Oryctolagus cuniculus: one gene and its partners. The protein of the gene in region 3 interacts with the protein of the main gene of each other region in a pairwise test. Links are inferred from orthologs where the notes say so. Each region holds a gene or a part of one and is shown on either strand. Other genes may lie near its edges. The genes, in order: ESD, CDC73, FSD2, CORO1A and PBX3.

Region 1 (6,516 bases), on a different chromosome or scaffold from region 3:
ACTGTCGTAGAGCAGAGACTAGGAAAGAGTCTCTTTGGACAGGAAGAAATTTATAATTTTAGTACTGTTAACAGAAAGAATAACAATGGCTAATACAAAGTTCTTGTTCTGTGTCAGTTACATTTTAACCTTTGGCCCTTTTGGAGACACAGAAGGAGCAACAGATACTAGGAATGTACTGTAAAAAGAACTGTAGGAATTAGAATTTAAAGGAGTTAGAAAAAAAACACCAGAAAAATAAAATGGAAATCAATGCATGAAATTTGGATCTTTGCAAAGTGAATAGGAGATGGAAACAACTACTGTTAAGGTCTGTCTGTACTGTCTATTCTAGTTTGCTCTGTAGTTGCTATAAAGTTAAGAAAGAACACTGGCATAGGGCTACAAGGCTGCAATACTTGGTTGAGTTGCCAAGGTCCAAAGTCTGGTCCTCAGAGGAGTACACATTCAGAAACTCAATTTTATTAAGTAAACATCACATTCAGAAAAAATAAGTCTCTTAGGAAATTTATCATTTCAACTAGATTCACCTGAGACTAAGGCATTATTAAGCTACATTCTGATTTATTAAATAACAAGTGAGGCTATTCTTTTCTGAAATGTCTCTAGGTGAGAATACCATCAAAATAAAGGGCTCTTTCGAAAATACCTATTAAGACCAATGGTTCTCAACTAGGGCTGATTTTGCCACCCTTTCCTCACCGCTGCACCAGTGGACATTTGTCAATTTCTAGAGACATTTTGGGTATGCAAGCATGTTGGAGGTGCCAGTAGTGTCTGGCCAGTAGAGGGCAAAGATATTATTAAGCAGCTTACAAAGTGCAAGATGGCCTCCCACAACCAAGCATGATTTAGCTCCAACGCCAACACTGAGAAACCTTGATTTATCTATAGAAAAGCTGTAAAACCACTTCTCAAGCAGCATCCCTAACATTCAGTACATGATGTCATTCTCCATGTACAACACCGTTTCTAGACTTGCTGAGAATCATCTCTGCTCTAGACTGAAGGTTTGTGTCTCCCGAAACTCACATGTTGATACCTAAATCTATAATGTGACAGAATGTGGAGGTGAGCCCTTTGGGAGAGGTAATTACTTCAGGAGGAATGAGACTGGAGTCCTTATCGATGGCACTAGTGCTTTTCCTTGAAAGACGAAGAGACCAGAGCTTGCCTTCACTCTGTCAAGTGAGGGTTGAACAAGAATGCATCACTTCTCCTAACAGGAAGAGAGCTCTCACCAGTAACAGAAAGGCCCACAGCTCATACTGGACTTACAACCTTCAGAATTGGGACAAATAAATTAACGTGAAGAATAGATTTCCGTTAAGCCACCCGATATCTAGGATTTTTGTTACAGCAGCTGAGCCTAAGACAATTTCCTTTCCAGAGGCTTCACCTGGTTTTGGGTTCTTTCACTTTCATTGTATCATTTTGTTGCCTACCTAAGATCACATCCGACTCATTATAGTGCAAACTGATAGTCCCTAACTCTTCTCAGCCATAAATTTAATTTTGGATCACTTACTTGGTAGTTAAGATTTACTCACTTTTTATTATGTTTCATTATCTGAAATGTCATCCTTAATTTCTGATTTCAGCTTAGTTTGCCCTTCTATGCAAATAAAAAATATACTCCTACTAATTTAAAGAAATAAATGTTGTGGATGTTATCCTTTTATTTATGCTGGGTAAAAGAAATTTCAGTTCTGATTACTATCACACTGTATTAATACACTAACCCTTTAGTAAAAGGACTTCACACTTACAGATCTTAGGCTAGTTTGTACCTCACAAGGCATCAATTTATTAAATGAACATCTGTAACTTTGCTCAAATATTCATCAGTTCTAAGGAAATGGTAACATCCAAACTGCGATCCGTTTTAGCTGTGAAACTCAATTTGAGGAAAATCCACTCTTCAGTGATTTATATTTTAAATCAGCAAAAAAGGAACTAAAAACCTTTTACGTCAACGCTTTCACAAAAACGTGGTTTTGCATATACATTGTTTTCAGCCTGAGTCTCAGTGTATCCACAGGCCCACAGATGCAGGCCACAGGTTAGTTCGGTTCAAAAGGTATTTATGGCAAGGACGTGCGGCACACAGCAGATTCAACACATCATCTCCTGGTGGCAGCTCATTCATGCTAGCCGACAGGTTCCCTTACTCAGCAAAATCAGCTCCAAAACCCGCAAGGTCCTATAGAACATGAAAACGGAGAGCTCGCCTTCAACAACTCTTGAGAGACCAACCCAAGCGTGCAGCCCTTCCCATCAGCAGCCCTAGACACACAAGTTGTCTGCCCAGCAAGTCAGAACAAAGTGCCTGTTTACAACTTGGCATTCCAACCACTTGTTCCTACAAACACTGGTGGACACATTTAGCTCTTTGGGATAAGTTTGGTTAAATCCGAGAAGCCAAGAATGAAGGGACGATTTGCAATAACCAGCAACTCTCAGGTCAGCTTTTACTGAGGGAAGAATTAAAACCAGGACGTGGAGAGGGTTCCCACCACCTGCCCGGCCACCGGCGATTCCAATTGCCTCCTGTTTCACGCAGATACCAAGTTGGGGGCCCTGGTTTCTAAATAACCGTAAACCCTTTCCACGAGTTAAGCGAAGCCAGACCTCAGCTTTATTAAAGCCTCGGCCTCCTGCGGGCGCACCCCGCTAGCTGACCCCGCAGCAGGCGAGCCCTTCCAGCTTCAAACGCCCGCCTCGCTGCTGACGCAACCACGCGGGGAGGAGGGAGAACGAGACGGGCAGGGGGAGGGGCGGCCGCCCACGCGGAGGACGCCGGGAAGCGCCTGGAGAAGGAGGCGGGGCCGAAGGAGGACCCGGCCGCAGCGTTCGGACGAGAGGGGGCGGGCCCGGGGAGGGGTGGGGCCTAGTGTGGGCGGGGCCGGCCTGGTCCCCCGTGGCCATATTGACTCCCAGCCCTTCCCTACGGCTCCATTGCTTCTGCACCGGGGCTTCCGCTACAGGTAAGACCCGATCCTGGCGAAACACCTGGACGTCCTTGGCCCGCCTGAGCCTGGGGTTGCAACAGTGACGCGGTAGGGCCCTCTGGGGACGGACGCCAAGGCCTGCAGCCCTGAAGGTCCCCGGGCTGGACGTGGGGACAGCGATCCCGGCCCGGGGCGCGCGCCTCGCTTCCTAATCCCATTTGCTGCGCTGAGCCCGCCAGTCACCCGGGGCGCTCGGGCGTGCTTCTGCGCCGCACGGGAGGCTGGCGTAGTTCTCGTGCCAGCCACTTGGCCAGCCCCTCTCCGCCTCCTGGGCCCGTGCCGGGGCGCGCACAGCCCCTCGGAGCATTGGTGGCGCCGCTGGCTGGCCTGCAGCCCTGGGCCCTGCTCTCGGGGGGGGTGGGGGGGGCGACCTTGACCCGGGGGCGCGGTCAGCGGCGCACCCCGGGGACCGCAGACCGGGATGCCCCATCTTCGCGGTCCGCGAAGTCTCAGGGGTGTAAAGTGCCCGCAGAGGTGTGTCGGGACGGGCTTGGGGGCGTTTCTTTTGGGATCCTCGTGGAGATGGCATTGCTGGCTGCAGGAAAACTAACGTGTATGTGCTGCCTATAGCAAGCATGAATGAACTTTCATTCCTGGAGCAGCCCTAGCAAATCGATAGATTATATACCCATTTTGCAGACGGGGAAATGAGGCCTTGGATTAAATAGCTTGCCCAAATTCGTGTGGCAGTTAAGTGGTAAAACCGGAATTTGACCTCGAAGATCTGGTTGGAGAACCTGTGCAGAGACCGTTATACAACGGCCTCAGGGACAGCCACCCAATAGAAACATCCAGGCCATCCTGGAATGATATGTCATTGGATTCGAGGGAAGTAAGGGGAGACCAGAAAAATAGGGTCGGGCCCAAAATTCAGATCTTAGAGCCAGGTGAAAGTATTCAGAGTTGACAGATGCCGTCCTTCCCCACAGTGGATTAGATGTTGGTCAGTGATCAGGCCTTGTGCACTTTTATGGAAGACACTGCTTAGCAATAGGTAAATTAGGTAAAATGTGACAAAGATATTTGGGACTTCATTTGTCCTTGCCTTTTTGTCAGCACTCCTTCATAGATTGGACTTTGTGAAAGTATAAAGGCACCAAACATCAAGAAAATTATATAATTGACTGCATTGTCTTCAATTTGCATGACTTATTGGTTCTTAACTACTGGTCTGATGGCCAAGTCAGATTAGCTCGCTAAACCTGTCAAAGCCAGGGTGTGGTCAAACATTTATTATTTGCGGATTAATTTGGGCTAGCTAATCCTGTTTCTTAAAAATGACTAAGTGATATACTTAGCACTACTGAAATAGGTAATTACAAATGGTTAAGACAGTAAATGTTATTTTCACAATTTTAAAAATAAAAATGAATAATAGTTCTGTGGAGGCCATGTTACACCACAGAACAGCCCTCAGACTGGTTGGAGGAATTGCTATAGAACCCCCCAAGTTGGGTCCTCTCCTCTAACGTGCAGAAAGCCAATCAGTGACATCAGGCTAGTGGAGGAAAGGAAATGTTTGTTGTAGAGTACAGAGCAAGGAGTCAGGCAGCTACGGCTTCAGTCCCTGGCCCCCGCCAGCCAGGGGTAACACGGACAGGGTCTTACAGGTTCAAGTTGGGCTTGAGAGGCCCATACTTTGCTAGTGCCCAGGTTCCTAGTTGCTTTGACATGCGTGTGACCCTCCTTCAGTTAGTCAGCAATAATTTCGTCCTTTAGAGAATTTTGATTATGTCAGAGTAGGCTTCAGTCTACTGAGGGCTCCAGGCCTGAAGTTACTGGAAAAGAAACCCTTGAGACCAGGCAGAACATGAAGGTGTTAACTGTTAGAGAAACTAAAGAACTGTTGAGTCCAGGGATTCAACTTTGTGGGTGCTGCTGCACCACTCCCTCAATTCAGCGAGATTTTAGTAAGTGGTTGATTTGCTAAGCCAAGACAGAGCAAGTATACTAAGTTAATGGAGGGAGGCTGAGGAGACCTTGGGAGATGAAGAGTTGATGGGGCCTGGCATCTACATTCAAAGCACCATAGGCTCAGTTCAGTTAGGCCCCAAGATCTCTTCATAGGGATAGTAGTGGTTTATATGGATTAGAACCCTGTGTTTTCATGCAGAAGTGGTTATAGTGGGACATACTGCTAGAAAGACGAGGAATCAAAGTTTTAATTCAATTTCTTATGCATAATTAGGATGATGGCACTGGGAATTCAAAAGATCACTTCAGGATTCTTGCAATGTAGATTTGACAAGAAGAGCATGGGTCCGGCAAATAGAGGCAAACAAAAGAAACGTTTAACGGCGGGAGATGTAAAGGCTTGATTTTAGATTGGGTGAATTTTGCTCGCGAGTGAACATACCTTCACATACCTTGCCAGAAAGCTCCAGCAAGAAGTTCCATTTCCGGCACTAATGTGGAGGAAGATTAGATAGGAAGGTGCAAATTTAGATTCTTCCACCCAGAAAATGCAGTCGAATGTAGGTGAGGGGGTTAGGGGAAGAGGAAAGGAAGATGGGGAGGGGGAGCCCCAGAGTTTGACGGAGGAGGATTTGAACAGAGGCAGTGGTTGCAACGTCAGGTGCTGCGTTGCCATCCACTGGTTTTGTCCAGGTTGTTAAGAGCTAGTGGAGGGGACACACTGGCATTGAAGACATGGATCAAAATCCAAGGCATCTGAGGAAATGAGGACAAAAAATACAAGCAGAAATATATATAGGAAACTGGAGACTGGAGAAGGAGAGAATAGGTAAAAATAGAAATAACTCAGATTTCTGATCACTTCTGAAATTAAAGAGAAGAACAGTTAGATGGGACCATTTGGCCTTTTAGGAATGCATGCTTTGTAAATAAAAAAAAAAAAAAAGGAAAGTAAGTCATCTTTAACCAGATTGGCTTTAATGGTTTTTGACCATTCACGTGTATCATGTTCTAAGAACATGTTTTCTTTCCCAAAGAATATTAGTGTTAACTTTCTAGAAAAATTATGTAATTCCTTCCTGGTATTGAAAAAGTCTTTGGGGTCTTTGGTGTGGCAGGTGCAGAGATTGTTTTGTTCTTTGCTGTTTACCCAACTCTGTCACCCTGTTGCTGCCACACAATGTTAGAAACTAAATACACCTGTTTACCTTTAGTAGAACCTATATAAGACATGCCAATCAAAAAAAAAATACATATGTCAGTTTCTACATATGCATGTACATCTCTTTTCACTTTGTATCATTCATCTCAGCCGTCTTCATGAGCCTAGCCTGTGTTCTTAGCATGTCCTTTCTAGTCAGTCAGCCCAGAGGTTTTCCAGCCTTGTCTCTCCCGCCTTTTCCTTCCCACATGGTAAGTTTGGCCTCTCGCTCCGAGCCAGGTAGAGCTATCTTCCTTGCCCTTCCTCTCCTCCACTCCTGTTTCTTTTACTCTCAGTTGTCAACTGCATCTCATACTTCTAAATACCAGTTTGAGACTATTTTTAATTTACTTAACAGTAGAAATACAATTTCTTCATTATCCCAGCAAA
Region 2 (5,618 bases), on a different chromosome or scaffold from region 3:
CCGGGCCAGCTCTCTGCTGTGGCCAGGGAGTGCAGTGGAGGATGGCCCAAGTGCTTGGGCCCTGCACCCCATGGGAGACCAGGAGAAGCACCTGGCTCCTGCCTTTGGGTCAGCGTGGTGTGCCGGCCGCAGTGGCCATTGATGGCAGGCCACGCCGCTGCTCACTAGGCTAAGCCTCTGCCTGTGGCGCCGGCATCCCCGGTTCTGGTCCCGGTTGGGGCGCTGGATTCTGTCCTGGTTGCCCCTCTTCCAGTCCAGCTCTCTGCTGTGGCCCGGGAGGGCAGTGGAGGATGGCCCAGGTCCTTGGGCCCTGAACCTACATGGGAGACCAGGAGGAAGCACCTGGCTCCTGGCTTCGGATCGGCGGTGCGCCGGCGGTAGTGGCCACTGGGGTGGTGAACCAATGGAAAAAGGAAGACCTTTCTCTCTCTATCTGTCTCTCTCTCTCTCTCACTGTCTAACTCTGCCTGTCAAAAAACAAAAAAAATTAATGGCAAGAAACATTATTCTGTTCCCCTGCCATTGTGAGACCAAAGTAGGAGCTAGATAACCTCTATCCAGCAAATTCTTTTTAGTTTGCTAAACTTTCACATTTTACCTTCAAAGACTTAAGCAGACTAAGAATTTTAAACTGATAGTCTTTTATGATAACTTCGATAGTTTCTATAGATCTTCATTTGAATAAAAGATAACCCTGGTTTAATATAGAGTATTTGTCTCTTGCCGTGGTTATCAAAATGTGGCCTGCAAGGCTTTAGACATTCCCAACACCCTTTCAGAGAATTTCCAGGTCAGAATGGTTGTCATGGTAACACTGAGATGGCTGTTGTTATTAATCCCACAGCAGGAACAGGAGCCTATCCAGTACCCAGGACCAGGATTCATTCTCCTGTCTTCCTGCCTTCTCTCCCTTTCCCTCCTTTCTCCCTTTCTCACATGTGGACTATTCTCTAGTGTGCCCATTTACTTCTGTGTCCTCATCTGCTAAATGGAGCTGTATAATAGTCATCTCAATTATTATTATTAATATAAAGAGAGCTGATTTCATGCACTCCCATACGTACAGTTCCAAGAAGACAACCACACTTCTCTCACTCCCCTGTTCACCACCAGCCCCTCACCCTCTCCATCCCTCCTCTCTCTTCATCAGTTTTTGCAAAGACATAATTTTAATCCACTCTATATTCAGAGGCTTAATTTGCCACTAATCACAATATTCAACAAATAAAAGAAGGAAGACAACTGTTCCGCAGGAGTATAAACAAGAGCTTAGAACAACAATCATATTCCAGAATGTCCATTTCATCCCTGTACATTCTTTTGTATTCAGTATTAACTGCCACTTATCAGAGAAAAAATGGGATATTGGTAGTTTTGAGACAGGCTTATTTCACTAAGCATAGTGGTTTCCATTTACATCCATTTCTTTGTAAAAGAATTTCATTAATTTTTATGGCTGAGTAGTATTTCATGGTGTTGTGTGTGTGTGTACATATACCACATTTTCTTTATCTAGATATTAGTTGATGGACATCTGGGTTGATTCCATATCTTATCTATTGTCAGTTGAACTGCAGCAAACATGGGGGCACAAATAATTCACATGCTGATTTCATTTCACTTGAGTAAATTCCCAGGAATGGGGTGGCTAGATCTTACATGGTAGATATATATTCAGATCTCTGAGGAATCTCCATACTGTCTTCAATAATGGTTGTACCAGTTTACATTCCCACTAACAGTGGATTAGGGTACCTTTTTACCTCACATCCTTGCCATCATTTATTTTTTTTTTAAATTTATTTTATTTATTTTAATTTTTTGACAGGCAGAGTGGACAGTGAGAGAGAGAAACAGAGAGAAAGGTCTTCCTTTTGCCATTGGTTCACCCTCCAATGGCCGCTGCAGCCGGTGCACCGCGCTGATCCGAAGACAGGAGCCAGGTACTTCTCCTGGTCTCCCATGGGGTGCAGGGCCCAAGCACTTGGGCCATCCTCCACTGCACTCCCGGGCCACAGCAGAGGGCTGGCCTGGAAGAGGGGCAACCGGGACAGAATCCGGTGCCCCGACTGGGACTAGAACCCGGTGTGCCGGTGCCGCAAGGCGGAGGATTAGCCTAGTGAGCCGTGGCGCCGGCTATTGTTTTTTTGATCTTTGGATGATAGCTATTGTAACTGGATTGAGGTGAAACCTCATTGCAGTTTTCTGAGCCTTTTTTTCTTTCTTGTTTTTTTTTTTTTTTTCATGTGTCTGTTGGCCATTTGTATTTCATCGTTTGAAAAATGCCTGATCATGTCCTTTATCCATTTCTTAAATGGATTGTTTTGTTGTTGAGTTTCTTGAGTTCTTTGAATGAAGATGGTTTGTTAATATATGTAATATAGAATGCCTTCAATAGTAAATACTCACTGTGTGTTACTAATATAAACCATATTGTTAATGCTTTGTTCCCTCCTCTTTAGTTGTAGTCTTGAACTGTGTATTGCACTATTTACAGATTCTCAGTTTAATGGAATGTTGTACAAAATCATGAAATATGAGGGCATAGAAAAATAAAATATTTAAGATGTGTTTGAATTTAAAATTTTTCTCCTGTGAAACCATCTTTTTCAGTTAATGGGTGAGCAGCTATTCTCATTGGAGGGAAAGCAAAAGGACTAAATCAGTCACACAGAATTATTGTATATACAGTTATATTAAAAAGCTTGGGTACAAAAACAAATGTATGGGAAGTACAGCAGTCATGAATGCGCTCTAAACGCTGATATATTGGAAAGTTAAGGTAGTGTATTTACTGTATTCACCTCCTAAGAGGGTTGGTAGGAGACCCTTTTCTTGGGGATTTCCAGTAACTGAAGCTTAGGACTGAGACGCTCTTCCCACCACCCTCTCTTCATCCCCTTATCTCTTTGCAGGGACCGGGTCGTAGCAGTTTTTGTACAGGGTCCTGCTTGGCAGTTCAAAGGTTGGCCATGGCTTTTGCCTGATGGATCACCGGTTGATATATTCGCTAAAAGTAAGATTTTATTTCTTCTAATGTTTATCTACACTAAGTGTTGTTACTTTAAAAGAATGAGCCATCTTTGATTGTATTTTAAAGTATTTTAAAGTATCACTCTTATGCAACTTACTTAATGTTAACTTTTTAGCTCTGTATTTGTTTGAAAACCTTTGAAATTGTACAATATTTTCTGTGTAGTTTTATCTAAAAGCAATTATTGCCTATACAATAGCACTATTTTTTGGTCACTAAAAAATCATTAATACTGCTGCATATCCACATGTTTTCATTACAGTGGACTGCCAGTTTTTAACTGGATTGACTTTGGCTGAGTAGATGATGCATCTGTATGTTATAGTGCCATATGTATTTACCAGCTATCCCATCATCTCTCTCTCTCTCTTTTTTTTTTTTTTTTTTTTTTTTTTGGTTAAAGATTTATTTATTTATTTGACAGTCAGAGTTACACAGAGAGAGACCATCCACTTGTTCACTCCCCAATTGGCTGCAATGGCTGGAGCTGCGCCGATCAGAAAGCAGGAGCCAGCAGCTTCTTCTGGGTCTCCCACACAGGTTCAGGGGCCCAAGGACTTGCGCCATCTTCTACTGTTTTCCCAGGCCATAGCAGAGAGCTGCTGCTATGGAAGTGGAGCATCTGGGTCTCGAACCGGCACCCATATTTGTTGCTGGCACTTCAGGCCAGGGCGTTAACCTGCTGCGCCACAGTGCTGGCTCCTATCCCATCATCTTAATAAATGATTGTGTATCATTGCATTTCTTATTTCATTCAGATCTCAGTAAACGGTCCTATTTGAAATACACTGCACTTCATTTTAATTGCGCTCTAAGCGGTTTTATTTTCTTGGTAGCACTTAATTATTGCTTGACCTCACCTAGCTTTTACATTCTTATAGTGTAAGTTCCACTTTGAAAAGATGCCTTTTTTGCCTCACTCATCATTTTGGCTTCAGCACAGAGGACTTACAGGCACATACCTGTTTAAAGGATTATTTCATGTGGCTCATATTTTTATTAAATATGGTGGCCTTCAAAAAAGTTCTGAAGGGGCAGAACACATTGTAGTATCTGGATTCAGTTCCTGGCTCTGTCCTTTTTTTTTTTTTTTTTTTTTTTGACAGGTAGAGTTAGACAGTGAGAGAGACAGAGAGAAAGGTCTTCCTTCTGTTGGTTCACCCCCCAAATGGCTGCTGCAGCCAGCATGCTGCGCCAATCCAAAGCCAGGAGCCAGGTGCTTCCTCCTGGTCTCCCATGCAGGTGCAGGGCCCAAGCACTTGGGCCATCCTCCACTGCCCTCCTGGGCCACAGCAGAGAGCTGGACTGGAAGAGGAGCAACCAGGACAGAACCGACGCCCCATCTGGGAGTAGAACCCCAGGGTGCTGGCGCCACAGGCAGAGGATTAGCCAAGTGAGCCGCGGCACCGGCCCTGGCTCTGTCTTTTGACTTTAGCTTCCTGCTAATGCAGACACTGAGAGGCAGTGGTAAATGGTTAGGTAGTTGCTTTTCTGCCACCTTCATGGGAGACTTTTCAGCTCCTGGCATTGGAATGGCATAACCAAGAACACTCTGAGCAGGTGGCGGGTGAACCGGCTGATGGGATTGCACATGCAGGTATGCATGTTTCTCTCTCTCTTTCTCTCTCTCTCTCTCTCTCGTGTGTGTGTGTGTGTGTGTGTGTACCTCCAATAATTTTTGAAAGAAGTTTATGGAAATCCATATTATGAAAAAAGTATGCATGGATTTTAAGATTTTTTTCACCAAAGTAAACTCATTCTAACTTATTACAACATGTCTGAACAAGATCTAGCTTAAGACACTGAGGAGGATAAAACATCAGTTTGAAACGAGCTCCTGTTAGAGCAACGTGAATTATTTTAAAATGGAAGCAAAAACAAGCATCAAATTGATGATGCCTACGTGGAAGAATGGGGAAGCCTCTGCTTATAAAAGTTTATGGAGACAAAGCCCAAAGAAATCAGCAGTTTACAAATGGATTACTTGATTTAAGAGACAGGGTGGTGTAGGAGATAAAGCTCAAAGCTGCAGACCATCCACACTGATTTGTGAAGAAAAAGTTTGATCTTCTTTGTGTCCTAATTCAAGAATACCAGTGATTAACAACAGCAACAATTGCCAACAGCACAAACATCTCTGCTGGTTCTGCTGACACCACTCTGACTGAAAAATTAAAGTGGAGCAAACTTTTCCGCTTGATGGATGTCAAAACTGTTGCATGCTTGTCAACTGCAGACAAGAGCAGAGCTCTCAGTGGAAAATTTTAAACAAATAGGACTGAGATCCTGAAGCATTTCTTGGAAGAAATATGACTTTACCATCATAATTCTGAAGACAGCACAGTCAGAGTACTGTCTACCAAGAGCTGGAAGTGGGGCCATCACAGCAAAAGCAAACCAGTCAAGAACCAAGGGCATGGCAACAGGTTTTTGGGATATGCATTGCTTTTTGCTTATTGACTTTCTGGAGGGTCAAAGAATAATAACATCTACTTACTGGGAGAGTGCTTTGAGAAAGTTAGCAAAAGGTTTGGCAGAAAAATGCCTGGAAAAGCTCCACCAGGGAGATCTTTTCTGCTAGCAC
Region 3 (5,739 bases):
TTGATGAGAAAGGGAAAGTGAGCAAACAAAGCTGAATTCTATTATTATCCTCCAATAAGTGATTGGCCTCATGTAACGTGCTGTACACACATTATTTATTTAACTCTTACCATATCCCCACGAAGCATTATGGTGTCCATTCATCAGATGAAGATGCCGACTCAGCGAGATTTTATAGATCACCCAGGGTCACAAAGCTTGTCTTATAAGGCCTGTATTATGTTGAAGTACATTCCTTTGTACCCACGTTGTTGAGCTGTGTTGAATTTCATCAGATGCTTTTTCTGCGTCTGCTGATGATTTTTCTCCTTCTTTCTGTTGAATGTGGTGTGTCTCATTTATTGATTCACATACATTGAACCATCCTTGCATCCCAGGGTTAAATCCCACCTGGCCATGGTATATAATCCTTTTAATGCATTGTTTAATTTGCTATAATTTTTGGAAGATTTTGCATCTATTTGGTCTGAAAGTTTTGTTCCTCATAGTGTCTTTGTGTGGCTTTCGTATCACAGTATAATGCTGGCCTCATGAAATAAATTTGGGAATGTCCTTTTCTCTTCAATTTTTGGGGAGCGTTTGATTCCTTTGGGTTCTGGTAGAACTCGTGAGTGAAGTCACCTGGCCCTCGGCTTTTCTTCGGTGAGAATTTTTATTACTGCTCCAATCTCTTTAATCATTAGTGTCTGCTCGTATTTTCAATTTCTTTATGAATCCATCTACGCAGATTGTATGTTCCTCGGAGTTTATCCATTGCTTCTGTGTTATCCAGTTTGTTCACTGTGTTGCCTCAGGAGCCTTTGCATTTCTGTGACACCAGTTGTAATATCTCCTCCTCTTTCATTTCTACTTTTATCAGAGTCTCCTTTCTTTTCTTAGTCTAGCTAAAGGTTTGTCTGTTTTGTTTATCTTTTTGAAGAACCAACTCTTTTTTGTCTTTTTTGTCTATTATTTTCAAGTCTCAATTTAATTTCTTATCTAGGCTTTACCATTTCCTTCCTTCTGATAAATTTAGGCTCATGAATCATGCATAAATCAACTGATCTTGAGAAAGGAGTCGAGAACATTCAATGGGAAAGGATATTCTCTGTTGACACATGGGATTAGGGAACTGGATCTCTATATGAAAAGCATGAAATCTGACCCGATCTTAAACCATACACAGAAATGAACTACACTGTATAGATTTAAATGTCAGACTTTCAACTATAAAAAAATTCTTGAAATTGGTCTTGGAAAGATTTCTTGGATGTGACATCAAATCACAGGCAAAAAGCAAAAAGCAAAAAAAAAAAAAAAAAAAAAAAGCAAAGGAAGCCATCGATAGAACAAAGAGAAAAACTATAAAGCTAAAGAAAATATCTTCAAACCTTTTCACTGAAAAGAAACTGATATGCAAAGTGTATCAGAATCTCCTACAACTTAGCAGCAAAAACAAAATCCACTCCCCAAAACACCACCGCCAACCAAAACATCCAAACAACCCAACTAAAAATGAGCAAAGAGCTAGAATAGCCATTTCTCCAGAGAGGACACACAAATGGCCAGTAAGCATATGAAACAGTGCTCAACCTCACAAATCATCAAGGAAAGGCAGCTCAAAAGCAGAGTGGCATATCACCCCACACCTACTCGGATAGCTATTATCAAAAAGCAAAAGTAACAAGTATTGATGAAGATGCAGAGAACTGCAACCCTCGTATTCTGTTGGCGGGAATGTGGAATGATATAGCCAACATGGAAAACAAAGAGATACCTGTACACCCACGTCCACTGTAGCATTTTTCACAGTAGCCACAGTATGGAGATAACCTAAGTGTCTGTCAGTAGAAGAGTGGATAAAGGGAATGTGATCTATCTATCGTGAAAAGTACTATCCAGCCTTAAAAAAGAAAGAAGTCCCACCATTTATGAAAACGGATGAGGCTGGAGGGTATAATGCTGACTGCAATAAGCCAATCACAGAAGAATAAATACCGCCTGATTCCACTTAGAAGAAGTGCACAGAGGCAGAGAGCCGAGCGGTCACGTGGGGAGGGGAGGAGCTGGGGAGCTGGTCTCAGTGGTTGCGGATTCCGTTAGGTGAGAAGACCGGGACCTGGAGGTGCGCCCCACAAGGTCGGCCCCACAGCTAGCAAGACAGAGTGTGCACTTTAAGATGGAGAGAGAGAGAGAGCGAGAGAGAGAGAGAGAGAGAGAGAGAGCGCGAGAGCGAGCGCGTGGTGCACGTTCCTACCACAAAAATGCAAAAGCACAAGGCGGAAGCCCCGGGGAATCCGCGCTGGCGTGCAGTGGGCGTGGGTGAGAGGCCCACCTGGAATGCTGTTAATGGAGCCCATCAGCTCTTCCACGTCCGAGAAGTCCAAGGTCTGCTCTTCAAAGTCGGGCTGTGCAGAGATTTCCACATCTGTTTTTGTTTTCAGGAACTTCCCGAGTCTGTTGGTATAAGCACACGTGTTGGGGTTTGTGCCTGACCCAGCAGTTAAGACACTGCGTCCCATATTGGGGTGCCTGGTTCTGCTCCCAATCCCAGCTCCCTGCTAATGCAGACCTGGGAGGCAGCAGATGATGGCTCAAGTAGTTGGGCCCCTGCCATCCACGTGGGAGACCTGGATTGAGTTTTCAAGTCCCTCACTCAGGCCTCTGCCCAGTCCCAGCCATTGTAGGTATGTGAGGAGTGAGCCAGCAGATAAGAGTGCCCTCTTTTTTTTTTTTTTTTTAAGATTTTATTTATTTATCTGAGATGCAGAGTTAGAGAGGGAGATACAAAAAGGTCTTCCATCCGCCGGTTCACTTCCCAAGTGGCTGCAATGGCAAGAGCTGGGCTGATCCAAAATCAGGAGCCAAGAGCTTCCTCCAGGTCTCCCACGTGGGTTCAGGGGTACATGGGCCATCTTCCACTGCTTTCCCAGCCCATTAGGAGAGAGCTGGATCAGAAGAGAAGCAGCTGGGACAGGAACTGGCACCCATATGGGATGCCAGCGCCACAGGCGGAGGCTTAGCCTACTGTGCCGCAGTGTAGGCCCCAAGTGTGCCCTCTTAAGCACACACGAACAAGAATGGAGGCCTAACCTCCTTAGGGTGATTCTCGTCCTGGGTCTCTCACTGGGGACATGCTGAACTTCCTTCCCTGTAGTGGGACATGCTCTGGCTGCCTTCTGCTAGCTGCTTCAGTGACTGACCGAGGGGCTCACCAGCGGGATGGGTGGGATTAGCCTGTGCCTTTACGGGTGAGGAGAAAGGGGCAGGTCCCATCAGAAGGTGGCGTGGGGCACCTGCCAGTGAGATCCGGAACCACACCTCCTGGAAGATCTCCCACGAGCTAGCCTGGAGGCCCCCTTCCCACGCCATGCTGGGCCCTGTGGTGTACAGAGGATTCAGACTTCCTAGGGGGCTTCCTGCTCCCACGGCCGAGTGCCCTCGAGCTGCTGACTGTGGTCCTTTGCGTCCTCCTGCACCTGCCTCCTGGCAGTCGCAGGGTTTGTAAATGGCAGAGGCAGAATCTGAAACCAGGTCTGGCTTTGCCAAAACCCCTGCACGTAACCCTTACTTGATTAAGCTCCTGTGCTCCTGTTGCTGGATGTAGACACCGTCTATCTGGTTATCACAAACCCATCCTTGTTTGTCTGTTAGGAAGGAGGGTCCTAGGTCAGCTGGGCTTCCCCAGGCTCTCGGGGGTAGCGGGAATCGAGCCTCTGAGCGCCTGACTCTGAAATGCGCACCTTCTGCAGCTGCTAGGCCGGGGCCCGGCAAAGCCCACCCTTGGCTAACGAGGGGGTCTACCCTCAGGCCTCATCGGGCACAGTCCCCTCCAGCCCTGAACACTGAGATTCAGTACTGGGGGTCCTTGTGTCCCCTCGCCGACACTCCGAAGCCAGTGCTATTTTACTCTTAGGATCAGAGACAGAAGCCGAATCGGAAGCCTTTGACCAAGAGGAGCTGGGTCGATTTGGCTCTCTAGAGCCGAAGGAAGCAGCAGCCAGAATGCACGGCTTACCTGTCGGCCATGGCCACTGCGTCCTAGGGAGGAAACGGAGAAAAGATTACACTCGCTTTGGAAAAAGATTGTTTTTTCAAAGTAGGAAATCATATCAATGTATTTTTAAACTTGGAAGTTAGGAAAAGGGAACAGTAATCATTAGTTGCTTTCTCCATGCCTCTGCCTTTTCTTCCATGCCGCTGGTTTTTTCCCATCAGCACTCGGGGCAGAGAACATCCAGTCCATGGACCACAGAAAGCTGTGAAATCACTGGGTCTGGCCCTGCCAAGGCAAGCACAGGCCGGACTGGAAATGCAATCGACCTACAGCGGGCTCGGTTTTAAGTTGAGAATTTTGTCTGGCCCGCAGATGCGGCTGTCAATACGCAAATGGATCTTGGCAGGAAAGAGGTTCCCCACGTCTGCAAGCCCTGTCTGTGTTACAAGCTGGGCCCCTGATTACAAAGATTGCAAGCAGCCCCCAGAACGGAAAAGCCCTCAGTGGCTTAATGGGTGCCCTGGTGGTGGTCGTTTCTCGGTGAGAACTTCTCCCTGAGTGTCCCTTTCTCTGCATTCTGGGGTCTGTCCTCATGACCCAGTGGCTCCACAGGGCCTCTGGTTGAAGCCGTCTGCATGTGGGGGCCTCTCCTGGTGCCAGGTTGTCCTCAAGTGTTAGCCCTGGGGCCCTTGCCCCCACGTGCCGGGAAGGAGGCACGGGGGCTTCATGGGGCACCTGTGGGCCTGGGTAAGGTGGGGTCCACGCTTGGCAGCCAGGAAGCTTCTGGAGGCTGAAGACCCCTCCCCTATACGGGATACCACGTCTCCCCCATACTCCTGTGGGGCCTTGTGACGAGAGGGCCCAGCTCTGAGACTGAAACTCCCCAGCCCAGCTGGAGGGGCTTGAGTCCAGTTTAATTTGATTTTTTTTTTACAGTTTATTTATTCATTTGAAAGGCAGAGTGAGTGAGAGAGCGAGAGCGAGAGGGAGAGAGAGGATAGAAGGAAGGGAGGGGGGAGAGGGGGAGAAAGAGAGAGAGAGAGAGAGAATGAGCTTCCATATACCAGTTTTGTTTTTTCCCCACATGCCCAAACTAGCTAGGGCTGAGCCAGACTGAAGCCAGGAGCCAGGAACTCAGTCCAGGTCTCCGACATGGATGCCAGGGACCCAAGTGCTTGAGCCATCACCTGCTGCCTTCTAGGGTTCACATCAGTAAGAAGCTGGACCAGAAGCAGAGGCGCCTAGGCTGGAACCAACCACTCTGATAAGGGATGTGGGTGCTCCAAGTGGCATTTTAACCACTGCGCCCAATGCCTGTCCAGAGAAATGGAATTCGGGTTGACATGCCTGTGTGAGTTGATGAAGTAAGATTGATCATGGCTACCCTGGTAACCAGCACGTCTCAGGTGACTTTATTGTAGCCTGGACAGTTTGCTCCCCAGAGCTCCAAGAAACCTTCAGCGGTGCCCAGAAAACCCTCAAGGCACTGTTTCTGCTCAGCCCCGGGATGAGGGCGCAGGTCTCCGGGTAATAGAAGAACAAACGCTGATGCTACCTCAACAATGCGGACAGACGCGCAGTCGGCTGTGTCTGACTTGCTGCAAAGCTACGCAGAGAGATGGGGCAGCGATCCCTCCGACATGAGCAGCGTCCACTCTGACACCTGTCGGTGGAGAGCGGACGGCCCCCCTACCCCAGCCATAACTGCTTTCCACTCACGGTTTCATTTCTCTCCCTCCCTTTCGTCACTGACCTTTAGGAAA
Region 4 (6,230 bases), on a different chromosome or scaffold from region 3:
GAGAGAGAGAGAGAGAGGTCTTCCACCCATTGGTTCACTTTCCAATTGGCTGCAACTGCCAGAGCTGCGCCAAACTGAAGCCAGGAGCCAGGAGCCTTTTCCGGGTCTCCCACATGGGTGCAGGGACCCAAGGACTTGGGCCATCTTCCACTGCTTTCCCAGGCCACAGCAGAGAGCTGGATCAGAAGTGGAGCAGCCAGGACTCGAACCAGTGTCCATATGGGATGCCGGCACTGCAGGTGGTGGCTCTACTCACTACGCCACAGCGCTGGCCCTTAGCTATTCTATTCTATTCTATTCTTTGAGAGGCAGGGAGAGAAAGAGTGTATTCCCAGTGTTCCCATCTGCTGGCTCATTCCCCAAATGCCCACAAGAGCCAGGGGCTGGGAACTCCACCCGGATCTCCCACGTGGTGGCCAGGACTCCAGTAGTTGAGCCATCACTCCTCCCAAGGTGTGCATGAGCAGGAAGCTGGGGTCAGGGGCAGGGCCAGGACTCAAACCCAGGCCCAGGCCCCCTGATAGGGGATGCAGGTGTCCCAAGTGGTATCTTAACCCTGGTGCCTAACACCTCTCCCCCAGCCATCATTCCTGTTCCCTCAGGTGGAGACTGAACCTCACTGACCCTGCTCCATCCTGGCCCTTTCTGGCCCACTGTGGCTCAGTAGCAGGCCAATCCAACATCTTTTTTTTTTTTTTAAAGATTTATTTATGGGGTCAGTGCTTTGGCGTAATGGGTAAAGCCCCTCTCCCCCTGCAATGCCGGCATCTCATATGTGCACCGGTTCAAGTCCTGGCTGCTCCACTTCCTCTCTAACTCCGCCTTTCTTATTTATTTCTTAAGATTTATTTATTTACTTACTTACTTACTTGAAAGGCATAGTTACAGATAGAGAGAGGGAGAGATGGAGAGAAAGGTCTTATCCACTAGTTCACTCCCCAAATGGCCACAGTGGCTGGAGCTCTGGCAATCCAAAGCCAGGAGCCAGGAGCTTTTTCCAGGTCTCCCACGTGGGTGCAGGGGCCCAAGCACTTGGGCCATCTTCTTCTGCTTTCCCAGGCCATAGCAGAGAGCTGGATTGGAAGTGGAGCAGCTGGGACTCGAACCGGCGCCCATGTGGGATGTCTGTACTGCCGACAGCGGCTTCACCCACTACACCGCAGCACCAGCCTCCCCACACCCCCCCTTTTTTAAACAATGGCATCATCTGTTGAACCCATCCACATCCACTGCCTCCATGGAACCTCGCAACTTTTTGCAGGGAGCAGGAACAAATCTTATTTATCCCCCATTGACAGATGAGGAAACCGAGATTCAGAGAGGGCTGGCCTCTTGCCCAAGATCACACAGCCAGTCAGCGGGGGAGGTGGGACTTCCGCCAGCCCCTCGCAGCTCCGGAACTTCCTCACTCCGCGGGCTCTGGCCTTATGAGGCCCCGGGCCTGGGCGCTGGCTTAGCCTTTGGAGGTCACCATAAAGCTGACACTTGTCTTCAGAAGTCATGCTTAAAGCTTTGCTCGGGTCATTTTTGGTAACCATCCCCATAACCCTATGAGGCAGGGGCTCCTGTTAGGGAGGGAGAAACAGAGAGGTCAAGGGACCTGCCCAGGTCACTCAGCAGGTGCGCTGGCCTGGAGTCTCTGGAGTAGAACCCTCTCTGGGTTGCCGCCGCCAGGAAGCCCCACTAAATCCAATGACAGGAATGAACTCTCCCCGCGGGAGTTTGGCCTGGAGCTGCTGCCTCTGCTTCTAGCCGGCTGCCAGCGCTCCAGGGGCCCGCGGATGACCCCTTCCAGCAGAATCCCCCACCCCCCTGCCCGGGTAGCTCCCGCCACGCCCAGTGTTTCTGCGGAGCGGGGGTGAGGGGGCAGGGATGCTCCGCGGGAAGACACGAGACCCCCCGCCCCAGCCCGTTCGTCCGTATAGGAGCTGCGCCAAGGACCCAGGGCCCGGGGCCGCGCCAGGCTGTCCGCGCTCCGCTCCGTCCCGTCGGGGCCACAGCCGGGCTGCGGGGCGCGCGCGGCTCTCGAAGGGCGGCCCTCGTCGGGGCCAGGGCCGGGGTGGGCCGGAGCGGGGAAGGCGGCGCGGGGCGTGTGCGCACCTGCGCCGTGCGGGTTCGGTCCCGGCGACCCGGCAGCCGCCGGCGCCCGGCCGGGTGCCCGCAGGCAGGGCGGAGCGCGCGGCGGCCGCGGAGCAGGGCAGGGCCGGCCCCTCCGCGAGCTCCGCCCAAAGGGGCGCTGCCACCCGAGGAGGCGGCGCACGGCTGCTTCTCATTCATTGTCTGACAAGAGCATCCTCCGCCGCCAGCCTCGGCTCCTGCGGCTCCTTCCTCCTCCTCCTCCTCTTCTTCCTCTCCCTCCTCCGTCCGGGGGTCCGCTCACCTCTCGCAGCAGGTAAGGCCGGGCTCCGGGGGGAGCGGGCCGGGCTGGCCGCGGGGACCCAGAGTCACTGCCCCGGGCCACCTGTGGGGCAGGCGAGAGCGTGGGCGCCGCGGGCTGTCAGGCGGCCTGGCCCTGCGGGGGGACGGGGCCCTGGGCGCTCTGGGCAGGTGCGGGTGAGGGAGCTCCGCGGCCAGCATGGAGGTGGGGGGGGGGCGCAGCAGGAGCGGGGGTCCGGGCAGATGCGGCGCCCGAGTCTCTGCGGGTGGGGGTGGGGGGCAGGGTGGGGTGAGCCGAGCAGCTGCCCTGAGCCTGACGACAGGAAGGGGTTGCGAGCAAAACAAGACAAGACCAAGTTCCCCTTTCCGTGGTTTCCGGGCCTGGTACCTGCGGTGGGGGAGGAGGCAGGGTGGGTCGATGGTTTCCTGTCCCCCACCTCTGATGTGGGGCTCCCTCTCCCCAGACCCCGGCTGCCCACCTGTCCTACAGGCTGGGTCCCCATCACACAAGCGCCTCACCTCCTTTCTGGCCAAGCAGGTCCACAGGCTTCTTTGGGGGTGCCTGGGGGGCAGGGGGGGTTCGAGCCGGAAGCAGGAAGAGGCCAGACCCCAAGCAGGCTAGTATGGGCATGGCTAGGGAGGTGGGCACGTGCCCTTGCAAGGTGGCACACGAGGGAGCCCTGGGCACCAGGATCTGCCCAGGGCTTCGCTTGCCCCCCTGCCCCCCTCGCTGGACCTCAGGGAAGTGGCGTCCGCCTCTCCCTCCCTGTGTGCAGTTCCGATGGGGGTGCATATGGCACTCATGGGCACCTGCTTTTTTTCTGAGCGGAGGCGGGAAGAGGAGGTGTGGGGAGGAGATACTGGGACCCAAGCCATCGCCTGATTCTGGCGCCCAGAGACCTACGGGGGAAGCCATCATGCTGCCGCGTTCCCTCCTGGGCAGGCCCACGCTCCACTTCCCGAGTGTCCAGCTGGGTGGTGGCAGGCCAGCCCTGCCCCTGCCCCACAGGCGTGTGGGCGTGAGGGCCGTGGGCTCTGATGCTGCAGTGAGAGAGACCCCCTCACCCCCACCCCATGGCCTGGGCCAATGCCCCCACACCGGAGCCATTCCGGAGGAAGGCCCCACAGCTTTCCGTCAGTCAGCAAACTGGGGGAGCCCTGGGGGCTGCCACCCCCAGCCCTGCTGAGGCTGCGGGTGCAGGATGGAGAGGGTGGTTTGAGTGGCTGTGGTGGGAGCAGCAGGTGGCTCGCTGGTCAGGCAGGAGCGAGGAGGGGCGGGGGAAGGCCCACATGGGGGGTGATGCTGGGACCCTAAAATCCAGACTGGGTATCCCCAGGGGAGACAGGCTCTCGGCCCCTGTGCCCGCAGAATGAGCCGGCAGGTGGTCCGCTCCAGCAAGTTCCGCCACGTGTTTGGACAGCCGGCCAAGGCCGACCAGTGCTATGAGGACGTGCGTGTCTCCCAGACCACCTGGGACAGTGGCTTCTGTGCCGTCAACCCCAAGTTCCTGGCCCTGATCTGTGAGGCCAGCGGGGGCGGGGCCTTCCTGGTGCTGCCCCTCTGCAAGGTGAGCCCCCTGGGGGGCCTGGGACCGTGGCTCCCCTACCTCGGGGCGCCTCTGTGGGTTGGACGAGGTGACTGTCACCAAGCCTTCCCAGGCTGTGGTGGTGCCCCCTGTGGAGCTGAGCTGGGCCAGAGGAGCTCCTGGGGCGGGGACAGGACAGTGCAGGGAGGGCTGCGGGCCCAGCGCCGGGGCTCCCAGGCCTCACTCAGCCTGGGGGGCTCTTTCTCCCCTTGGAAGCTCAGGGAGGGTGGGCTGGGGGCCGGGGGGGCCCAGCAGTGTTCTCAGGGCTGAGCCAGCTCTACCCCCAGCTCAGCTGTTGCCAGCGGCCCGTGGCCTTGTTGTGTTGACTGCCACCCCCCACCCCCCGGCACAGTCCTGTGCTCTTTGGAGGGCAAGACAGGAAGGGAGGGGGGCCCTAAATTGTTACCTTAAAAGGGCCGATGGCAGCCAAGAGGAGAGGAAGTGGTTGTCGGGGTGAGCTGGGCCCGCGCCCCGCACGGCTCCCCCCACAGGAAGCCCTGCTGAGGCAGCAGGCCCCGGAAGAGGCCATTTCCCAACCTCTGCTCCAGCCTGGGGCCTCTTTCCCTTTGCCAGTTCCCACCCCTGCAGCCCCCCCCCCCCCCAAATTGCCACCCCTTCCCCGGCAAGCCCCAGCCCTACTGGGGTTCAGGGCCCCGGCTGGGAGTGTTCATGCAAGCCTCCCACAGGGAAGCTGGGGTGGGGGTGGGGACCCTCAGGGCACAGACAAGACAGGGAGATGGGCAGAGCTGGGCCAGGCTGTCCCGGGCTGTGCCGCGTGTGTCCAGCCTTCCTGGAGTTTGCCCAGGAGCCCCTGGGAAGGGGGCAACGAGCTGGGCCCACTGTGGGGGGGAGAGGGCAGGCACCACAGACCCCTGCTGGGCTTCTCTGAGGGGTGGAGGGGCGGGGCGGGGCTTCCAGGGCAAAGGCACCTGTCCAAGGCCCCGCCCGCCCTGTAGACTGGACGTGTGGACAAGAACGCGCCCACGGTCTGCGGCCACACTGCCCCTGTGCTGGACATCGCCTGGTGCCCACATAATGACAACGTCATCGCCAGCGGCTCTGAGGACTGCACCGTCATGGTGAGCGCCGCTGGGTACGCGCCCGAGGGGGCTGCAGGGTGGGATCCGATATTCGGAGCCCCGAGGACTCACCGGCCCCTTCTCGGCAGGTGTGGGAGATCCCTGATGGGGGCCTGACGCTGCCCCTGCGGGAGCCCGTGGTCACCCTGGAGGGCCACACCAAGCGTGTGGGCATCGTGGCCTGGCACCCCACGGCTCAGAACGTGCTGCTCAGCGCAGGTGCGTGGGGGGGGGGCGGGGGAGCGTCCCCGCGTGCCTGAGGGCGGGGCCTCAGGCGTCTGACACTCAGGGATCACGCAGGTTGTGACAACGTGATCCTGGTGTGGGATGTGGGCACGGGGGCGGCCGTGCTGACGCTGGGCTCGGATGTGCACCCGGACACCGTCTACAGCGTCGACTGGAGCCGCGACGGCGCCCTCATCTGCACCTCGTGCCGCGACAAGCGCCTGCGCATCATCGAGCCCCGCAAAGGCACTGTCGTGGTGGTGAGCGGCTGGGAAGGCCGGCCCCCGCCCCCGAGGCCTTTACCCCTCCTTCCCGCCGTGCACCGAGCTCCCGGCTGCAGCCCCAACCTCCTCCCTTGCCCCTAGGAGAAGGACCGGCCCCACGAAGGCACCCGGCCCGTGCACGCCGTGTTCGTGTCTGACGGCAAGATCCTGACCACAGGCTTCAGCCGCATGAGCGAGCGGCAGGTGGCGCTGTGGGACACGGTGCGTGCTGAGCTGGGGAGCAGAGGGGCCCCGGGGCCTGAGGCTGGAAGTTAGGTCCCTGCCCTGCCGCGTGCCGTGGCTGGATGGTCAGGGTCCTCAGGTGGGGGTTTCTGGCAGCTGGGCCGGCGGCGGCGGCTGTGTGTGTGCGTGTGCGTGCGTGTGACCATTCACCCACACCTCCCCATCTGCAGAAGCACCTGGAGGAGCCGCTGTCCCTGCAGGAACTGGACACCAGCAGCGGCGTCCTGCTGCCCTTCTTTGACCCCGACACCAACATCGTCTACCTCTGTGGCAAGGTGGCCCCCTGCCAGGGGCGGGGACAGGGCGGCGGGTAGGAGGAGCTGGTGCTGACCCTGCCCCGCCCCCCCGCAGGGTGACAGCTCTATCCGCTACTTCGAGATCACGTCTGAGGCCCCGTTCCTGCACTACCTCTCCATGTTCAGCTCCAAGGAGTCCCAGCGCGGCATGGGCTACATGCC
Region 5 (5,739 bases), on a different chromosome or scaffold from region 3:
AGACTCACAGTGGTAGATGCAAGTTTTCTGAAATTCTGATTTTTTTTCACTTGAAAACTCATATTTTAACATTGGCATAAATTCTGTCACTTTCTTTTGATGTGACAAGCTCACTGGTTCATTTTTGAGAAAATGCCTGCCAAATATCCAACTTCAAATAATCATAATTTATCAATTTTGTTTGAAGTAAAAATGGTGTTCCTTGGAAAGAGTGGCTTAGCTCACAACTTGAACACCCGTTCCAGTGCTTTTCCTCAAGGCAGGCATCCTTCGGTGTGACAGAAGTGCTTTCTGCGGCTTCCCACTTTGTCCACACGGAACAGTAGAGCTACCCAAGTGCTGAAATGTAGTAAGATAAATAACGCGCTGCTCCGTTAAGGACACTGCTGGCCTTGGTGCATGCTTGTGTGAACGCATAGTGGTGAAGGGCTGAAAAAGGAAAACTCGTCTGCTGTGGTTTTTCCCCAAAGAGTTTCTCTTAGCACATTGCTCCACAAGATGCCTTCAGCTGTGCTGTCCAGCGGGATAGCTACCAGCCGTGTATAGCTAGTGAGCACTTAAGGTCTGGCTGTAAGTACTCAGAGCTGGGCTATTAATGTAAAATGCATACTGGAGTTCAAGGAGTAAAACATAACAGAATGTAAAATACCAAATTAAAGATTTTTAAAAAATTAATTACATATTTTAAAAGTTAATATTTTTCAACACTGATTAAATAAAATACATTGTTAAAAAATTTATTTCACCAGATTCTTTAGATTCTTATTATTTTTAAAAATTTCCTAAGTGGCTCTCGATAAATTTCTGCTATATAGCACTGATCTAAAGATATGAAGTTTTATGACCAAATTTTTTTGGGGGAAGTTGGATATACTACTTCTCCTTGAAAATTTATGATGTACTTTTACATAGAAATATAAAGGAATGCTGCAAAAAATTCATTTAGAATTTAGGTTAACCTAGCAAGTCCCCAAACATACTGTATTTTTTTTAAAAAGATTTATTTTATTTATTTGAAAAGCAGAGTTAGAAACAGGGAGAGATAGAGAGATCTTCCCTCCACTGCTTCACTCCCCAAATGACCAAAGCCAGGGCCCAGGATCTTCATCCAGGTCTCCCATGTGTGTGGCAGGGTCCAAGGACTTGGGCCATCTTGTGCTGCTTTCTCAGGCACATTAGCAGGTAGCTGCATTGGAAGTAGAACAGCCAGTACTCGAACTGGATGCCAGCACTACAGGCGGCAGCTGAACCTGTTACACCATAGCACTGGCCCCATGCTGTATTTTTGGAACATCTGTTAATATTCTGTGGATCCAGGGGCCAGTGCCGTGGTGCAGGTTAAGCTGTCTCTTGCAGAGCCAGCAGCCTATATCAGAATGCTAATTCAGGGCCGGGACTCTGCTTCCATTCAGCTCCATGCTCATGTGCTGGTGAGGCAGTGAAAGATGGCCCAAGTGCTTGGGCCCCTGCACCCACTTGGGAGACCAGGATGGAGTTCTTGGGCCCTGGCTTCAGCCTGGCCAGAGTTGGCTGTTGTAACCATTTAGAGAGTGAACCAGGGGTAGAAGATCTCTCTGTCTGCCTTTCAAATAGATAATAAATAACTCTTTTTTTGAGATTTTTTTATTTATTTGAGAAGTAGAGTTACAGAGAGAGAGGGAGAGACAGAGAGAAAGGTCTTACTGGTTCACTCTCCAAATGGCTGCAACAACCAGAGCTGGACCAATCTAAAGCCAGGAGCCAGGAGCTTCTTCCAGGTCTCCCACATGGGTGCAGGGGCCCAAGAACTTGGGCCATCTTCTACTGCTCTCCCAGGCTGTAGCAGAGAGTTGGATTGGAAGAGGAACAGCTGGCACATGAAGCAGCAGCGATTCGGGATGCCGGCACCACAGGTAGAGATTCAGCCTACTATACCACAGTGCCAGTCCCAATAAATAAATTCAAAAATGTGTATTTTATGGATCTAGCTATAGAACTATAAAATTTGCTAATCCTAGTTTGAGAAAAGTTATTAATCAATTTTCTTCATTTTACTGATGAGAAAACTGAAGACTAGAGTGTGTCTAGTTATATAATTTGGAAATTCTGTAAATATCTCCTTAGAGAAATTCAAGATAAAAAATGTATACATGTATTTCTTGACAGAGTGACCACTTATTTCCAGCTTGGCATAAACAGTTGAAATTGATAATACAGTAGGGGAAGATCTTAAATTTATTTCAAAAATTTTTGGTTTTCTTAAAGACAGAAGAACTAGTTTTAGTCTGTTTAATATTGTACTGTATCATAACCTAAGACAATAATTATTAACATTTTTTTAGTTATAAACTGTTTGAGAATCTGAAAGCAAAGAAAACTCCACAGATTCTCCTCCAGGAAATATACAGGTGCACACAGCTTGCATAGGATTTCAAGGATTGCAGATGGTCTAAGCCTATCCCTGGACCTGTGGATATTAACCACACTTACTCTAGCACTGACAGTGTAAATCTGCAGATGGTTATTGTATGCCCTAAGCAGAGGAATACCAGAAGTATATACCATAAGGTCATTACTCAGAAGGGACTTAGAATTTCTGAAGACTTTAAAAGACTAACAGTAAGCAAGACTAACTTTACCTCACCTTAGAAATATTTATAGAAAAGCTTAGAATATGTGAAACATTCAATATACTTGGTGGTTAGTTCTCTAATGAGCAGTTAGGAAAACCATAATGTGCTTTATGTGAACCATGCCAGGTTATCTATATGGGAGTGGACATTATTATAGCTTCAAAATATGTCTTGCATTGATCAATGATTGTTCTGTCTGCTCACCCTGCCAGGCCATGAGTTCAGTAGGATACAGACTTTTTCATCCTGCCTTTTTAACGAAAATGCCAGAAAATGTTCTTTTTCTTCAGATGTATATACTGATACTTTATTTCCTAAGGCAGTATGGGATTTCAATGGAGGCCCAGTTAATGTGGTTTTGTAGACTGAAAGACTATAGGTGAACTTAAATGGACAGTATCTGAGATTGTTAACTAGAATATTTGAGACCCAGATCTGATCCCTGTTTTCCTGCAGTCCCTCCCCTGAAGAGCTGAGCTGTTTACAGGGTGACGTGAGTCTGGGCCTATACCACAGCTACCCAGTGGTGTGCGTACAAGGCCCTTTATGTGCTAATCCAAACCCAAGTCCCCAGTTCTCTACATGCTCTTTTCCTATTAGCCATTCTCCCATCTTGCCACATACTCTTTGTAGAGTTTTTCTTATGCCTAGAATTTCTTTTGACTTCCATCTTCGTCTCCCTTTTAAAAGTCCTACCCATTCTTCAAAGCCCAGATACCGCTTTCACCGTGAAGCCTCCATATGAGACTACCCTCTCCTTGGAAATTACAAAGCACTTCTTAATAACTTCCTGGTAGACTTTGCACTGCTTGCTTTGTGAGAGTTAGTTTTTTATGTATTTTATCTCACTAAAGGCCAGGTCTACACCTTGCTCATCTCTGTATCCCTTACAACACTTGTAAGAGTTTGAACTACTTAGTCCTAAGTAAACATTTGTTGAAAAATGTAAAACCACAGAGAAAATAGAAGATGTTTAGTACATAGTTAACATATATTATTACTTAGACATAGGAGTTGGTAGAGAGCATCCTCTAATGGGAAAACTTTATTTTGGAACTGGGACAAAGGTGGTAGGAAGGGCACTTGAATGCTGTGTCTCCCTTGCATGTCTGACCATTCATAGTTTCAGAATTGGTGCCCCACCTACCTCACCACCATTTCACAAGTGTCCTAGCTTTCATTTTACCCTGCCCTGCATAATGCCATTGGTGATTGTAAATGAAGTGGAAAGTCAGATGAGTTCATGTCTGAGTGTGATGATATAAAATATCAGATTGCTAAGGAATGATTTTTTTTTCCCCATTACAGGCATGTAATGAATTCACTACACATGTGATGAACCTTCTACGAGAACAGAGTAGAACACGTCCCATTTCCCCAAAAGAGATTGAAAGAATGGTGGGCATCATCCATCGAAAATTTAGTTCTATTCAGATGCAGCTCAAACAAAGCACTTGTGAAGCCGTTATGATTTTAAGATCAAGGTTCCTTGATGCCAGGTATGTGAGGTCATAAATAAATCTATTGCATGGCTCCACCCCGCTCCCTTTCCCCCTCCTTCACTCCTTTTATATAATTTTCTATGAGATCAGCCGGTTGCTCATCAGTTCTTGTTTAATTCGGCTATCAGAGCTCTTCTCTGCAGTGGACAGGTAAAACTCTGCTGTGAAGTCCCTTGATGTCTGGGGGTGGCTGTGCAGTGAGCTGCCAGTTTCGGATTCAGGAGACGGATAGAGTGAGCACTACTGCTTTCGGGCTAGGTAGCCTTTCAATTCTGATGCTAGACAGGATTTTTAAGGATAATTTTCTGCATATAATTCTGTTTTAACAATGGTATGTATGTCTAAGAATTCCTTAAAGTTATGTTGCTTGTACATATTATGAGAAAATACTTAGAGGTATTGATAGTCCTAAGCAGGAATTGGTATTTCACCTGATAGAAGTTACCATAAAATCCCAGACACTATCTTTCTAATCAAGTGAGAAAGTCTCTCAGTTTCTCCTGTAAGGATGAAATTTCCCTTTTATTTGAAGCTTTCACCAAGTTTCACAGCAGTTAGGTAATACGTTACCTGTAGTAGTAAATTGTACGTGGTGACCTAATGAGTGACAGAATAGTCCAGGTCCTCATACATGCTACCTCCGTGGGGTGCCTCTTGGATGTTGTTGAGGCTTATAATCAATCTTCAGTTTCAGAAGGGAGTTTCTATTTTGTTTTTCTTTCTACCCCTTGGAATTTGACAGAGGTGATAATTATCATCTACATCTCACTATATTAAAGAAAATAAGGTCTTTTTTTTTTTTTTTTTTTTTGAAAACAAAGTATGTCGAACAGTCTTCATTCCAGAGCTCCTCTGTAGAGCCAAGTAAAATGTTTTATGGTGGGGCCAGTGCTGTGGCTAGAAGGTTAAGCCTCTGGCTACAGTGCTGGCGTCCTATTTGGGCACCAGTTCAAGTCCCAGCTGCTCCACTTCTGATCCAGCTCCCTGCTAATGTGTGTGGGAAAGCAGGGGAGAATGGTCCAAGGTCTTGGGCCCTTGTACCTATGGTGAGAGACCCGAAAGAAGCTTCTGGCTCCTGCCTTTGGACTGGCCTGGCTCCAGCTGTTTTGGCCATCTGGGATGTGAACCAACAGATGAGCAATATGTGTCTCTCTCTCTCTCTCTCTCCTTCTTTCTCTGAATCTCTGCCTTTCAAATAAATGAATAAATCTTAAGAAATATATAAATAAGAAAAATGTCTTATGGGGCAACATTTTGGTGTAGTTATCACCATGCCACTTGGGAAGCCCACTCCCCACGTCAGAGTGGCCGGGTTCAACTCCTAGCCTTGTTTGCGATTCCAGCTTCCTGCTGATGCACACACTGGAGGCAGTAGTGGTTCAAGTACTCGGGTCCCTGCAATCTGTGGAAGACCCACATTGAATTCTGGGCTCCTGGCTTCAGCCTGATGAGGCTCCATCTGTGTGTGGGAATTTTGGAGAGTGAGCCACTGGACAGGAGAGCTTCTCTGTCATGTTGCCACCTGATTATACTGCCATTTTTCTAATTAAGCAGAACTCTGTGTTGCTTTTGGTTCCTTCCCCTCCCACACTGAATCAGTGACTAGAACTCCCCCAGTGCTTCAT

The links.
Region 1: the proteins of FSD2 (region 3) and ESD interact in binary tests that used the Homo sapiens proteins (3 or more experiments, as listed by UniProt). The two-hybrid records come from large-scale screens. The link is inferred for Oryctolagus cuniculus from reciprocal best matches to the Homo sapiens genes FSD2 and ESD.
Region 2: the proteins of FSD2 (region 3) and CDC73 interact in binary tests that used the Homo sapiens proteins (3 or more experiments, as listed by UniProt). The two-hybrid records come from large-scale screens. The link is inferred for Oryctolagus cuniculus from reciprocal best matches to the Homo sapiens genes FSD2 and CDC73.
Region 4: the proteins of FSD2 (region 3) and CORO1A interact in binary tests that used the Homo sapiens proteins (3 or more experiments, as listed by UniProt). The two-hybrid records come from large-scale screens. The link is inferred for Oryctolagus cuniculus from reciprocal best matches to the Homo sapiens genes FSD2 and CORO1A.
Region 5: the proteins of FSD2 (region 3) and PBX3 interact in a two-hybrid assay, tested with the Homo sapiens proteins (3 studies listed by BioGRID and IntAct). The two-hybrid records come from large-scale screens. The link is inferred for Oryctolagus cuniculus from reciprocal best matches to the Homo sapiens genes FSD2 and PBX3.

Annotation. Positions count from the first base shown.
Region 1 is NC_091440.1:65,776,009-65,782,524, reverse strand, and holds the start of ESD (S-formylglutathione hydrolase), read left to right. Parts: upstream 1-2,824; 5' UTR 2,825-2,987; intron 2,988-6,516.
Region 2 is NC_091444.1:9,956,593-9,962,210, forward strand, and holds part of CDC73 (parafibromin), read left to right. Parts: intron 1-2,915; coding exon 2,916-3,016; intron 3,017-3,437; coding exon 3,438-3,712; 3' UTR 3,713-5,618.
Region 3 is NC_091443.1:101,652,375-101,658,113, forward strand, and holds part of FSD2 (fibronectin type III and SPRY domain-containing protein 2), read right to left. Parts: coding exon 5,730-5,739; intron 4,021-5,729; coding exon 3,998-4,020; intron 2,437-3,997; coding exon 2,315-2,436; intron 1-2,314.
Region 4 is NC_091450.1:7,506,355-7,512,584, forward strand, and holds the start of CORO1A (coronin-1A), read left to right. Parts: upstream 1-2,233; 5' UTR 2,234-2,392; intron 2,393-3,713; exon of another isoform or gene 3,714-3,745; 5' UTR 3,746-3,746; coding exon 3,747-3,944; intron 3,945-4,918; coding exon 4,919-5,041; intron 5,042-5,130; coding exon 5,131-5,260; intron 5,261-5,341; coding exon 5,342-5,526; intron 5,527-5,631; coding exon 5,632-5,751; intron 5,752-5,942; coding exon 5,943-6,047; intron 6,048-6,123; coding exon 6,124-6,230. UniProt on the Homo sapiens protein: May be a crucial component of the cytoskeleton of highly motile cells, functioning both in the invagination of large pieces of plasma membrane, as well as in forming protrusions of the plasma membrane involved in cell locomotion.
Region 5 is NC_091432.1:229,672,035-229,677,773, forward strand, and holds part of PBX3 (pre-B-cell leukemia transcription factor 3), read left to right. Parts: intron 1-3,920; coding exon 3,921-4,111; intron 4,112-5,739. UniProt on the Homo sapiens protein: Transcriptional activator that binds the sequence 5'-ATCAATCAA-3'.